Caenorhabditis elegans: one gene and its partner. The protein of the gene in region 1 purifies or fractionates together with the protein of each later gene. This does not show direct contact. Each region holds a gene or a part of one and is shown on either strand. Other genes may lie near its edges.

Region 1 (7,402 bases):
TAATGGGACAACCTGACACCACGTGCCGTTAGGGGGAATTTTGAGTCTTGGGAAGTAACACGAAATTTACTTGTCCCATACGGTAACATACGGTAACTTTCTTATTTCAACAGAGGCAAACTTGCAAATTAATCTAAAATATTATCAAGCTCTCAAAATCCTCTAAATTCGTCGGCGAACATCGGCTTAACCGCTCAAATTAGTCTGCGCGCATTTCAAATATTCCAAATTCCATATCTATACCTTTGGAGGTAAATCGTCATCTCCTCGGTCAACGAGAATCTTGAAAATGTCTGCAGGACTGTCCACATTGAACCAATCTTCACAGAAAAGTCCAGCAAGTCGTTCGTCATACGCTCTCTTCGCTTCGAGAACCATCAACACTTGGTAGGCTTTATGGTGATCTTCTTCAAGTCCGGATAACGAATCAGTTGATGCCTGAAACATTTGGAAAATGAATGGAATTATGGTGTCGATGTATGATTTGAAAGTAATCGTAAGATTGGTCAGATCATTGCAGATTTTATAAAGTTGCGTTTGCGTAGGCATAGTCCTTCAGCATCTAACATCACTGAACATCAATTTGAACTATGGCTTGTTTTCGTAGAAATTCATTCTTTTTCTAGGAATAATTAAACTATTGTTCTAAAAAAGAAAAAGTGAACTACCGGAAACAAAGAAGCCATGCTGAGCGTAGAAAATCGTCGGAAATCACGACATTAAAAAAGTTCAGTGCCAGCGACCTTTATTTCAGATTTTGAAAATTAAATCGACGAAAATCAATTTTTCCCCAACATTTTAGAAAACAATGTATACAAGAAAAAAAACAATGCATGCAAACAATGCAAACAATGTGTTTGTTTTATAAGAATTTTTTTGGCAGATTTGAGTGGAAATCAAAAATCTGAAAAGCCCGGTTTTGGGGAAATTCTACCCAAAATCTGAGAAAAATGAACTGAAAAACTTTCAGATTGAAATTTTATGGAAATTTTTTTAGCATGTTTAGTATGTTTCAATGGTATTTTTATCTATACTTCTACTTATTCATTTTTTAAATGTAATTTAACTAAACTATTCTATCAAAAGTTTATTAAAATGCCACCGGACATTAAATTAAACCAAATTTTTATAATTGAATTTCATGAAATTTGATAACTTTAGCATTTCCGGTAACCGGGATACATGACATTTCAAACTAAAAACTCAAAGAAAAAGTTGTCGTTCTTTGAAACAAGTCACACTTATAGTTTGTAGAAGAATCACACGAAAGACCAAATTTTCTAGTAAATTTTTTGTAAACGTGGGAAAATTGTAGTGATGTTGAGTAATGTAGTGTGGTCGAAGCATTTCTGTTGAAACTCACCAAATCATGCAACTTTTTCAGATCTTTTCGCATTGAAGACGGACTGTAGCCTGGCCATTTATTCATAAAATCGCATTCTTGGACTGCATTGTCGAATCGCTGGAAAATAAACATATATTAGTTTTAATCTCCAAAAAAAATAATTTCTGGACTCGGAGATTTTGTTTAGAAAGTAATCTACCAAATCGCGCGGGTTTATAAAATTTGCCTCCCATAAGAATAAGTCTACTTTAAGCCAGTTTTTGCGTGGTTTTTGTTTTGTTGTTCTCCTCTCATACATCGGATTTTACTGTAATCCTATAAAGTGATTCAATTTCCTATTCTCATATCGTAGACATGTTGATTTGAAAGGAAACTGTCTCGTTTGACGTATTATAATAATCATTATTATTATTCACAGGCATTATTCTTCCTTTTTCCAGCTAGTCGACAGTTTCTGAAACTGTGGACACTTGGGGTTTTGAGCTCAAAAATCACAAGACAGAATATTAAATACTTCCACTTTTTTCACAGGTCAGATCTATCTGCAACAAAATGTAGTCAGAATGATACCAGATATAGGGTCATTTGACAAGGGTCCTTCTTCCTTTATTGACGTCAATAATGAAATCAGAACAAGAAATTGGGTGAAAAGTGCAAAGGGCACAAGATGTACTTTTGCCATTTTTTTAAATTTCTTTTTGAGCATCTTCGTGACCATTCAATCATTTTCAGAAGCGTTCTTCACACGCAAATGTGCCACTTCCACACCTCTCAAAAATTTGAAATTTTCACGCTGAAAATTGGATTCCTCATTTTGTGTGGTTCCTGGACACTTTAAGATTCACTAGGATTAAATTGAGATTAACAGTGACGCCCGGGAGCTCGGACTTTTCGGTTTTTTTCGGATGGGAATGCCGACTAGAAAAGTTACATTCGTTGAAGTGAGACATATTTAAAAGTACAAAACGATTTGTTGATCTTCTATACTTTATCAAATGTCTCTTTAAAGCTACTGGCAAACATTCAAATGATCACCTCATAAGGCGTGGTAGATCAATCACTAAACGTGCAGATTGTCTTTAAAAAAATTTTAACTCCAAAATTTGGTCGTTCAAATAATGAGTCAACGTTGTGGCTCACAAAACAGAAGAGTTCAGAAATATTTTTGGTGCTGGTAGCGATGCGGATAACTAATTAGTAGAGGCTAACTGAAATCATTCACGTCAAGAGGCAAAAGAACACCGAATCGCTGAGTCAAAAAGAGTTCTGATCAACAGTAGGGAAGATCGCACTGTGTAGAATGATCTCAAATGGCGCCCTGTTTGGTACGGTGAAATATAGGGCTGTACAACCGGACGTCCGGTCGTCCGAACCGGACGCACATGCGTCCGGTTGGGGGTAGCTATCCACGACGGCCGACAATTTCCGAGTTTCGCCACTCACTATAAAACTGCTGATTAAGTATAGTGAGTGGCGAAACTCGGAAATTGTCGGCCGCCGTGGAAACCTACCCCAAAACCGGACGCAGTGCGTCCGGTGGTGTCAAAATCGGACGACCGGACGCCGATTTGTACAGCCCTAGTGAAATAAGTACACGTCAAAAACCCCAATTAGTGAATAAAGGGATATCCGTGTTATTTTTTTCCGATCTCCTCATTCTGAAAACCTTACTATCTATATGACATAACTTGGCATTCTTCCCTTGATCCTTATGTACTTTTAACTTAATCAAAACATGAGCTGACCATTTATCTTAACATTATCACCCGTATCTGTCACATGTTTCTAAAAAACACCTCCTGATCTTCAGCTTTTCTTTTCCACCTCCTTTTTCCTATTTTCCAGCTCTGTTCAAAGCCCGCCTTTCGTTACTAAAAAACTGACTCCGCCCATTTCAGCTTCATCATATAAACAGAGTTGGCAGTAGGGCTAATCACTACTTCGAGTCACTCGGACATCTGCCGATCTCTTTTTTTCGATCTCACTGAAACGGTCGACATGTTGAACACTCCAACTGTTATTCTCATCTCTTCACTCGTCCTGGCCTCGGGTTACAGTGTTCGTTCAACTGCTAAGAACACCGTTCAAGATGCTCACGATCAACTCACAAAGAGCATTCGGTGCTGGGAGCCGATTGATGTCAACAATCCATCAAAAGGATACACGATGAGCGAGCCGATCTACGAGTTGTGTAGCTACATGCCAGACCCAAAGGACTACAACAAGTACTACGTCAATGGAGTTCAAATGGATTCCGATGATTACACCAACATCTTGGCCATGTACGGAAATCCAATCCCAGGACACGCTGTGATCAACGTTTGTCTACAAGAGGTAGGTTCAATATTATCAGGCTTAATATAATTGGAGGAATCGGTTTCTTATATAAAATCACTTCAGGCATTCCAATTCCACGCTGCAAACCATCCATCTCAGGTCAGCCTACGTTGTTTGTGCAAAAGAGACGGTTGCAATCTACCAAAAGGATTTACAACCTTCCTCGATTTCAATAAGCTCCCGATGCCAGAAGTCTTCTACTAATTCCTGAATCCTTTCGTCCAATAATATGCTATTCGTCGGGATGTCGCCAGTCTTCTTTTCCTATAATCCCCATTTTTGAATAATTCCTGATTTTCTTCTTCCTTGAACCCGTGATAATGACCATTTCTGATAATTGAACAAACGAACTGAATAAAGATGAGAAACGTTGCAGTATTCTGAGTTGTTCCATAATCCCAGAATCTTCAAATGATCGATTGCTTACGAATATTTGAAAGAAAAAGTGAACAAAGACTATGGTATACATACTCTCCCAACTATAAGTTAGCCGACTATTTTCAGATATCATGAAGAGGCTCCTTCGACGTAGGTAAATCTTCTGATTATACCCATTCATCTTGATTGTATAAATGCCGGATTAACTGACATCCATTATTGCTTTCCATTCTTAATCCGATTAGATTATTCCATTTGTAGATCCACCAAAAAATGAAATATATGTGTGACGTATAGAGACCAAAGAAGCTATTCATTATTCTAGATCATTCCAACTGTCTAACTTTGGTTTTCAAACTTTTAAACAGTAAATAAATGAGCCCTGAAGAGTTGATCGCCGTGCGCGTCCAACATCACCCATACAACTCATAAAGTATTCTTCGTGTGAGGTCTTGTTTACGTCACGGGCTCTTCTTGCCAAAAAGCGAAAAGCTAAAAACGAAGAACATACAACGCAACATAGGTTATTCTGCAAAATTAATGAGATCTTGCTGATGAGAGTAATCGAACACAAATTCTTCGATGCATCTGAATGATCAATCTGGCAATGAGCAATGGATACACATAAATTATTTCCCCTGCAAAACTAGTGGCATTCAATTTGCATTTTAATGATAATATGGGAATGAGCACGAATCCTCGCTTATTCCATTTATAACATTCAGGTTAACCGGTCTAGTGATTCTGAACTTTAGCAGACGAGTTAATGATAACCAAGACGTCGAAATCATCAGAGCTGACATTATTGACTTTTCAGCAGAATTCAATACGTCAGACACATCTTCTAATTGGGACGAAGCTTCTAGATATTGTGCAATGATGCTTCTCATCTGAAACCTTGTCTGGCGGAGCCAACTTGCACTTTTCAAGATATTATTCAAGAAGCACGTCAAAGGTGTGGTGGGTGGTGAAACGCAAGAAAAAACTAAAAATATCCTAAATGTTCTATAATCTTTTATTATTGTTTGGGTATTTGATACCAGATCGTGATATTCCAATCATCCAAATGGGATAAGAAGCTATTCTAGATTTTCTGTCATTTCTTGAGCTGAAAACAGCTTTCTTCAATAATCGCGGGGTTTCTTGGCATCGGAGGATTCAAATGTAAAAATCTGCGAACTTAAAGGTTTTCAAACAAACTTCAAAGAGCATGAAAAATCACATAAAGTGGTTAGATTCTCTAGAACAAAATATTACAGTAGTACTCTATGAATGATTCACTGAAAATTTCGAAAAACAAATGTATTCTCATTTTTAGAAAAAAAAACAATTCGTACCGAAGTCAAATCGTGACGACTTTAATCCGCTTTTTATTTTCTTTTTTGTTCGACAACTGGCTTCAATAACGACAATAACGCACGTAATTAATTGAGAAATCCGGTGGATGTGTCATTGGAAGAAAAATTGAATTTTCAAAAAACGATGGGGACCCATTTTTAATCAAAAGAGCATGGGTGCTTTGTTCATTTTATCTTGTTATTCTTGAAATTTCATTCCATTTTTTAAGCACACGGGGGTACTTTCAAATGCGGAAATTTTTTTGGCATTTTTGTGAAATTGCTCACCTTTTCAATAATCGACCACGTGGCGTCGCGAAGAAGTGAACATTTGTGATAAAGAGCCGATCGCATGAATAGAGAAACACATGATTCATTTGATTCGGTGACACTCGGAACGGCGACTCGTTTCAGACGACGCTTATGATAGATGGTTTGGAGGTCCTGTAATAACTTTGAAATGGTGTAATTTTTTTTTTTTTTGAAAAAACTTGAAGGATTTTCAAATTCTCAACAATTTTGATGATGTATTGTGAATGTTTTTTTTAATCGATTAAAGCACATTCACATTTTCACCATTTAAAATTAATTAGAATTCCATTTTGCACAAAGTTGGAGAAAGTAACCAGACGAGCAAAAAAACCTTTTCGAGGTAAAATGGACTTACAAAATAGATATTGGTTTTTAAAAAAAATCAAATCCGTAATTTTTAAGAGGGCTATTTTTGTGTGTAAAAAACTATTTAAAAAAGTATTCATTTTTTTGCATTTTTGGCCATTGTCTTTAATTGTGTCAAAAAAAATTTGTTTTAATTCAATAAAACATTACTTTACATTTTTAGACATCACATGAATAACCCCATACTTAAGAAGTTTTTCTGAAAGTTCTCACCCTAAATGGTGGTGAATATGGCTGAAAAATTTCACAAGCCATCACCATCAAATCTCTCGACATTTTCGGAGCAAACTTTGGCTCAATTTCCCGCGTTACAGATGAAGAAGCAATTGACAGGGCTCGTTGAACGGCAACTTCTGATTCAAGATCCCAATCAAGGTTTGCTCGTCGAAGTCTTTGTGGTGATGATCCTTCTTCATCGAATCCAATACGACTCGGTCCGTTACGATCAATATCATCACACCATTCCAGTGAAGCACACGACGGAGCTACAATTGACATGTTATCGGATTCCTGGAGAACGTATAATCTGAAAAAATGTCAATTTTAATGATCAGCTTTGAAATTTTCGGATGTTTCTAATAGTGCACAGTTTGAAACTTGAAAAATTTGTCATTTTCACATTTTCAGATTATAAAAATTTTATTCTGAAACCTTTATATGCGTGATTTTTAAGATTTTTCATGTTATAATAATTATTATTTTTCAAGTGACGAATTCTCCTGATTCACTGAAATAGACAATAGTGGGATTTCCAAAAAAAACTTTCGGTGCTTCATTCCAACTTTTGAGCTCTTTCTGCAAAAATGTCATCTTCCTGTTATTTTCTGGAACGGAAAACATGACGCAGTTATTACTTTTTTTTCTGCAAAAAAAGAAGAGAATGAATCAGCATAATCATAATCCAATTCGGGATGGGGATCTACTTTTCTATTCATTCGCCTTGTTCAAAACAGGAAAAAAGTTCTAATCTAGTATATGACGTGGTTTTTATCATAATAACACCAAGAGCATCATTTTTTGGGGTACAAAAATTAGTTTTATAAATTTTTTAAAATTAAATTTGGTGCCGATGGCACCACATTGTTTTTTAATTTTAAACTTATAAGAATTTTTGAAAATTGCAAAAACCTCAGTTTTTGCAAGAAAAATGTTCTGCTTATGTTCCAAAAATTATTATTCAAACCTCTAGGGATTCGAACATGCGACAGTGCTATAGTTTTCACAAAGTGGCAAAAACTCAGTAATTGCCACTTTTTTGTAAATCCCTAGTGTGTTAAATATTCAAAAGTATTTAAACCATTTAATTCGAAGGAACACTTTTTTGATA
Region 2 (7,786 bases), on another chromosome or scaffold:
GATTGATGATCGAGTCACTTTTATTTTTAGAAATGCTCCATTTTGTGCTCCATTTTTGTAATTTATTTTTAGTGAGTTTTTTAAGTTTTCCACATTTTTTAGGCAAAAAGTTCTGCACGAATTTTTGAAAATGCTCCAACAAAAAATTCAGCAACAGATTAGTTCTTTGAACTCGAAAAAAAATTATCAAATTTTTCTGGTGATTTTCTGCATACTTTCGGCAATTTTAACGCTGTCTAGATAACAAAAAAAATATTCGGACATCATTTTGGAATTTTTTAATTTTCTTCTTAAAAATTCAGATTTTTTTGAATAAAAAATTTCAATTTAAAAAATTCAACATTTTTATAATTTTTAAAAACATAAATTAAATAATTCAAAATGAAAACAAACTTAAATATTTCAAGAAAAATTCAGATGAATTTTCCAAGTTCTATTTTTTGAAAATTCAGTAATCGAAAAGTTTTTTTTTAAATTCAGCTTAATTGAATAATTTTTTTTAAATAATAAAAACTTCAAAAATTTTCAATCCTAAATTGTGAAAAAAAAATTTCCCAAGTTTGAAAATTTCAGCTCAACTTTTTTCTAGTTCAAAATTTTTTCTTGTGATTCATTTTTTTGTAGTACCCAATTTAATATCTGCTCTTCCAATATACATAGGTTTCCCGATAAGAAGTGTCCAGTTTCTCGGCATTTACCTGCAGCTTCTTGCCCAACTTTAGCTACTCAGCAGCTTCTTACCCAAGTTTCGCCAAAGTCTTGCCCAAGTTTGACCTAAGTTTCACCCAACTTTAGATATTCTGATACAGATTATCTTACCAAACTCTGAAACAACTTTAAACAATCTTTAGCCAAAGTTTCACCCAAGTTTAACCGAGTTGCTACGCGCCACTTCTTACTACCCAAGTTTGGCCAAAATTTGGCCCAAGTTTGGCCCAAGTTTAGGCACACAGCGCTCATCCGCAGCGCTCTTAACGCAATGATTATTAATTTCGAAATCAACTTTCTCTTTTAATTATCGTTAATTTTTCTTCCTATTTCCGTCATATTTTATCATTTTCAATAATTTTTTCTCAATTTTACACATATAATTAACTGTTTTTTGTTTTTTCTTTGACACTCTCTTATTTTATTTGTAAACTATTATTTTATCCTTTTTGTTCTCGAAAATATTTGCCTTTTTCGCTGTTATTTAATTCATTAATCACTTTCAGTATAATTTAACTTTGGAATCTAAATATGGCGCCTCTTAAGAGAAGAAAAGTTTCGGTGAGTTAATAATCCTCATTAGAAAATTAGCAAAAGTAAAATTCAGGCTCCGACTGGAAATGAAAATACCCCAAGATCGACACGTTCCATTCGTCATAAGAGGGAAGATCCAAGAGGGAAGATGAAGCCACTTGCAACCAGTACTCGAACATCTTCGGTTAACAAGAAAAAAAAGAACGATGACGACTACGAAAACTTTTATTCTGGAGAGAACACTATAACGACTATGAAGCCAGTTGTATTCCCAAAAAAACCAGTGATTTTTGAGCACGGGTACGGAATTGAAGACGACATTGAAGACGAAATAGATGATGAAGAATTGGACGACGAAGAATATGAGGAGAGTGGAAACGGAAACGAAGATGAAGTTGAAGAGGAAGTCGGAGTGGAGGAGCAAGAAATTGAAAACAACTTCGCTTATAAAAAAGTCAAGAGTGAAATTTCGTGCTCGCCATTCCTTAAAGAGCATTCTGTACATTCTGTACTGACAAATAATCGCGCAAAAACTGGTACAATTGATTCAAAGGCTGGGCGCACAGCCTATCGAAAACAGAAACTTCGTGAAGGAACATGTTGCTCACAAAGCAATGAGGCAACCGGGGACAGCACAGACAGATCAAGTACCTCCGCGGGATTTGATGTTTTTCAGCATCTACAAAACAGAGCGGTCCAGAAAACTATGATTGGTAAGTCACATTGAAACTAAATCTTGAGTTTAAAGCAAATTGTAATTTTCAGAGCAACTGGAATCAGCGGTTCGAAATCAAGATGTTATGGAAATGGGCAACGTTGTGAAGAAGGGATTAGAAAATGGAACTCTTTCAGAGATCCAGATAGAGGTGCAAAATATCCAAAATATCCAAATATTTAATCTTAATATCTTAATTTTAAGGAATTTTGTAAACATACAACTCGTCCAAACTTCTCGATCCTACAGTTCGTCCAGGCTCTCAGACAATCTACAGAAGACGAGAAAGAGTCTATTCAAATTGCACAGATGATGATGGCAGGCCGTAATTAATCAATTTCATATCCTAATACTTTTTTCAGTTTAAAATGCAGGATCCTAAGGATGGGAATTACACCGCACTTGCAGCAAACGTGCACACCCTGACATCGAAAATTTCAAAGCAGTTGAACGCTGGATGTATCGTGAAACGAACACTTACGATGAACCACACAATTTCACAAGCTGACGGGTTTCCTACGTGTAATCTCACAGATATTTATAACTCTGAACTCTTGATTGGAGGTGATGCCGTCTCGCAACTTTCAAATTTCTATATGGTTGCCTTGAAAACTGTAAGTTGACATTTTGATATATAAAAATAATAAATTCAATTCAGATGCTGGAGCCTTCTTATAAAATCTGGGCATTTACTTACCGACCAAGCTGTGTTCGCCGTGTTGATAGACATTTTCAAGAGTTACCACAAAAAGTGACAACAGCGATTATTGGTGCGTTTAAGATGTGAACAATTTCTAATCACAAAATCATGTTTTTTTCAGAAGTCGCATTCGATATTGTTGGAGTTTATTTGCCGGTTGAGCTGTCATACGGTTCGATTGATAGGGAGCATGAGTAAGACATGAACCAACTTTAAACAATTTTGAATTATTCATTTCATTTCTTCTAGATTCATCAAAACGCTTGGAGAAGGAGCAGAACTTGAGGTTCAGCGCCGTAGGGACGAAAGAATCACAGTGTTCAAGAACGCAGTAGAAGCCCTTGGCAAAGCAATGTAAGAAATCTCGTAAAAATTGTAAAATGTAAAAAAAAATGATATGATTTCAGGAACAATCTTCGAACATATCACTTTGATATTGCCAAAGGAGCACTATTCAACTGCAATAAACCATCTTATTGCGAGCATCATCTCAAGTGGGGACAGGTTCGAAAGTTCAGAGAACAGCATCAGAGGATGGAAACGTCACCAGAAGAAGTTATCAGATTGTAAGTAACTCAATACTTTTAATCGATAAACCAATACATTTTCATTACAGTGCAACCGGTCAACGCAATGAGCATGATGTCTCCGCTGCTGGACGATCGGTCAAAGACTCCACCCACTGAAGCTTAATTTTTCGTTGTTTTTTTTTTGTAATTGATTTTTGTTGTTAACCCTGTTCATGTTTTGTCCTTAAATAAATATTTTCCACAGGAAATCGTCTAAAGAATAAAGTAAAAGCGCGGCATAATTCGCATCTATAATCACCAAGGTCTTGCCCAAGTTTAGCCCAAGTTTAGCCCAAGTTTTACCCAAGTTTTGCCCAAGTTTGGCCAGCTTCTAATCCATGTTAATTTTTCTTGGGTGAAACTTGGGCAAGAAGCTGGCGGTGAATGCCGAGTTCCCCGCAAAAGCTTCAGTTTTTAATTATTTGATCTACCACCTCTTGCACTTTCCCCTGCCACTCTCTCACCTGATACTAGGCCCCCATAAATTTTCAATTTTCTTCCATTTCTCACAAATTTTCTTATCAAAACCTTTTTTAATTTCTTATCAATTAAATAATCTTACAACAGACATCATACCAGAAAAACCAAAAAAAAAAAGAAAGTGCTCGCGGAGCTCACGTGGTTGGCTCGGGCAGCTGGGGGTGGAAAAGCTCGTCGCTGATAAGGGATCACTTTGTGATAAGACGATGATGATCGTGACCTGTTTCAAAGACGTTTTGCCACTTTCGACGCGAATTTTTGGGTTTTTTGGGGGAAAAATTTGTTGCATTTTGTTGAATTTTTAGAATTTTTTATTTACTTTTTTGGGAGTTTTTTCAACAAAAACCCGCCTGCTCACCTCGAAAATTTCCTTTCTTCGTCAGACCTTACTAATTTTTTTTCAGAACCTTCCCCAACTCCTACTATAAAATGAGCCCATCCGCCTCTGATAAGCCTCTCCCACCCCATCACGCTGAGCACATGGCCGAAGCTGTCGCAGAAGCTTGTCGAGGTGTCGAGTGTGGAGATGGTGGACCATTCGGTGCGGTTGTAGTTGATTCAAACGGGAAAGTGGTCGCAAAAGGCCACAATATGGTGCTGGTCACCAAGGATCCGACAATGCACGCCGAGATGACTGCTATTAAGAATGCCTGCAAGGCATTGGGTAGGCACACGAATATTTAGAGCATCTAGTGATAAATTGACATAACATTTGAATTTTACAACCTCGATTTCCTATATTTCTTAAAAAATTTTTTTGCGATTTTTAGGATTTTTTTTTTCAAAAAAAAAGTTGCAGAATTTTTTCTCGAATTAGAGCAAATTTTTTCACATAATTTTACAAGTTAGATAGTTTAAAATTATTTTTGAAAATTGAAAAAAAACAACGATTAACTATTTTTCTGTTAAAAAATGCTAAATTTTTTCGACGTTTTTTTTCGATAAGTTTTTAATTGAAATTCACGTTTTCAGGAACTTTTGACCTATCTGGACATATTTTGTACACATCTTGCTATCCATGCCCAATGTGCATGGGCGGATGCCTTTGGGCTCGATTCGACGCAATTTACTACGGAGCAACTGCTCAGCAGGTGATTTTCATAAAAACTAATTTTTTACACTATTACTGTCTCTTTAAGAGCTTTTATCAATTTTAGTGACGTTCGGGGTTATTTTTCAAACTTTGGGTTACTGTAGCACCAAAAGTACGCAATACACCGGACCTTACGGCAAAATCACAAACTTTTGAAATTTTACCGAATCTGTTCAAACCAGTTATAGACCTAATCTAGAAATTGCCTGTAAAAATCCATAATTTTGTGCATTTTCTCAAGTTCATTAATTTGTGGAAACCCTTGGAAAAAGTAATTTTCAAAATTTTTTACTAAAAAAATCGAATTCTGCACCTTTTTTCAGTTCAATTTAAAAAAAAACTGTGCATTTTGTCGTAAGCTTTGGTGCACTGCGTATTTTCGGTGACACAGTAACCCAAAAAAAAAAACCTTTTCCAAATAAAACAAGTTCTTCCAGGCGGCCGAGATTGGATTCGACGACAAAGCATTCCACGACTTCCTAAAAGACCCGAAAAGCGATGAAATCCGAAAATTGGAGCATTTGGCAGCCGACAACTACCTACTCCCATTCCAAATGTGGTCCAACAAACCGGACAAGACAGAATATTAATTGGAGTATTTTTTTGAAAATTGTTTCGTTAAATAAAATTTGAAAAACATATAAAAAGACAAATACATTGGGACGGTTGGGGAAAAATTGGCAAAATTGGCAAAATTTCAAACTTTTTTTAGGTAACTTTCAAAATCATTTGCTCGGATTTTGTAGCTTTTGGGTATTGAGATGTTCGATATCGATTTCCACCCGCCGGACGTTCAGTTTCAGCCACTTTCATGAAGTTATCGACCTGAAAATTAAAAAAAAAAATTAGAAGAAAATTTGTTTCCTGGCTATCAAATTTTCTGTTGAAAATCTTGTAATGTGCAGGGTTAGAATTGAAAAAAAAACGTTTTTAGTAAAGAAAAGTGCTCAAAGTTTTGTTTTTTCAGAGATATGACGCATTACGGGTTACTTGTGCCCTAAGAGTACGCGATACACCGAATCTTACGGCAAAACGCACAGGTTTTAAAACGTGGCGCCAATCTGTCCCATTGCGGTTTGATCTACAAAAAATGCGGGAATTTTTTGCCTAAAAAAATGTGAAGTCAACACGTTCTTAACCATGCGAAATCAGTTGAGAACTCTGCGTCTCGTTTCCCGCATTTTTTGTAGATCTAAGAAGATCAAGCCGAAATGGGACACTCTGACACCACGTGTTTACCCAAAAAGCATATTTTGCACAATTTTAAAGTTTTGTGCATGTTGTCGTAAGATTCGGTGCACTGCGTACTTCCAGAGCTACAGTAACCTGTAACTTCGCTAAAATCGTCATATCTCAACAACGATTGATTCTACTGAAAAGTTATCAACTAACAAATTGTTCTACACAAAATTTTGCACATTTTATTAGTTCTAAACTATTTTTTAAATTAAATACCTGCAAAGATACAAGAGTTTCAAAAAAAAAATTTTCAATGACACACCAGCGGAGCTAATTTGGTTTTTGTTTTCTATCAAAATTTTATTCTCAAATCACTATTGCATAAGCTTGTGTGAGTGAAAAATGCACATTTATTCATCAAAAAACACACGTTTTGCCATTTTCTCACGTTCTCGCGATTTCAGTGAGAATGCGACTTGAGCCTAAAGTACATTGTTGGAAAAGCTAATACATAAAAAAAATACTCTGAAAAATCACAAAACTCACTATAATTGTGATGGGCAATGCTAAAACCAAGACTCCACACGCGATTGCCCCAGTTGCCACCAGTTTTCCAGCTGAAATTAAAAAAAAATTTTTTTTTAGTGAAAATTGAATAAAAAACTAGGCTTAAATAGTTTTTAAAGATTTTTCATGTCAAAATTTGTGCTCACCGACATTTTTACCCTAACCAGCCTTTTTTTGCGCAATTTAAAAAATCTGTGCATTTTGTCGTGAGGTTTGGTGTACTGCGTACTTTTGGCGCTACAGTAACCCAAAACTTGAAAAATAGTGCCCAAAATATATGCCCAAGGGAACAAAATCACAAGAAATCTGAATTTTTTAAAATTAAATTAATTTTAAAAAACTTACGAACTGTAACCGGAGTCAGGTCCCCGTACCCTGAAAATTTCGTTTTATATTTTATTTTAAAATTTTCAAAAATTTCCGAAACAAAGTACGTTACAACATTTATATCTTACCGACTGTTGTCATGGTGACAATACACCTAAATATCAGTTTTTTTTCAAAAAATTTCAAATATTTTTGGAAAAAAAGTGTCTTACCACCAACACGCCGCCGGAATTGAATGGAATTTTGAAGCGGGCTCGTCTTTTTCCAAAAAATATACCAAAGTCGAGAAAAATATGACACCTGTCATTACAACCATTGCCATCATACCCAGTTGACGGAATGACGCCTGAAAATTGCCAATAAAGGGGCGGAGTCAAAAAGCCATTTTTCTTTCAAAAAATTTTGGCGCGAAATCAAAACTTGGACCTACTTTCAAAGTTTTTCCGAACATTTGCAGACCACTGGAATATCGTCCCAACTTGAGCACACGAATGACTCTGAGCACTCGAAGAATTCGAATAACAAGGAATGCTCCTTTGAGGTCCCGTAGTTGCTCCGTTGATATTCCAAAAATTAAGAGAAGCATTTCTATGATAAATGGAAGGATAGCAAGTAGATCTATGATGTTGAGCAGTTGCCGGAATGTCTTGCTCCTCTCAGCACTGACCAACATTTTTAGGCCTGAAGAAAAAACAGTAACAATTTTTCAATGTACGGAATTTTTTATTTTTGACTGTTTTAAGAAGCTTTTAGAAATTTGCCATGTCTTCCAAAAATTTACAAATTTTTAGCAGGGTTTTGAATTTTCTAGAATTTTCGTTGAGTTTCGCGCCTAAAATTTTCCACAAATTTAAATTTCGCCCCAAAAAATTCCCCGCAAAATTTAAATTTTCTGCCAAAATTGTTTTCATAAA

What was found. The genes of interacting proteins can lie anywhere in the genome.
Region 2: the proteins of droe-4 (region 1) and gda-1 fractionate together in Caenorhabditis elegans (co-fractionation; one large-scale study listed by BioGRID). This does not show direct contact.

Annotation. Positions count from the first base shown.
Region 1 is NC_003283.11:13,989,419-13,996,820, forward strand, and holds droe-4 (dietary restriction over expressed), read left to right. Parts: upstream 1-3,237; 5' UTR 3,238-3,343; coding exon 3,344-3,679; intron 3,680-3,745; coding exon 3,746-3,886; 3' UTR 3,887-4,058; downstream 4,059-7,402. Other genes in the region: ric-7 (CRAL-TRIO domain-containing protein), read right to left, coding at 244-438, 1,364-1,462, 5,686-5,841, 6,289-6,601.
Region 2 is NC_003281.10:11,022,891-11,030,676, reverse strand, and holds gda-1 (CMP/dCMP-type deaminase domain-containing protein), read left to right. Parts: upstream 1-4,110; 5' UTR 4,111-4,135; coding exon 4,136-4,370; intron 4,371-4,678; coding exon 4,679-4,797; intron 4,798-5,236; coding exon 5,237-5,389; 3' UTR 5,390-5,438; downstream 5,439-7,786. Other genes in the region: Y48A6B.8 (Wsv161), read left to right, coding at 1,240-1,269, 1,316-1,955, 2,008-2,108, 2,162-2,275, 2,320-2,571, 2,616-2,727, 2,779-2,851, 2,907-3,011 and 2 more; putative voltage-gated potassium channel subunit kvs-4, read right to left, coding at 5,508-5,624, 6,525-6,595, 6,891-6,920, 7,001-7,026, 7,085-7,218, 7,303-7,553.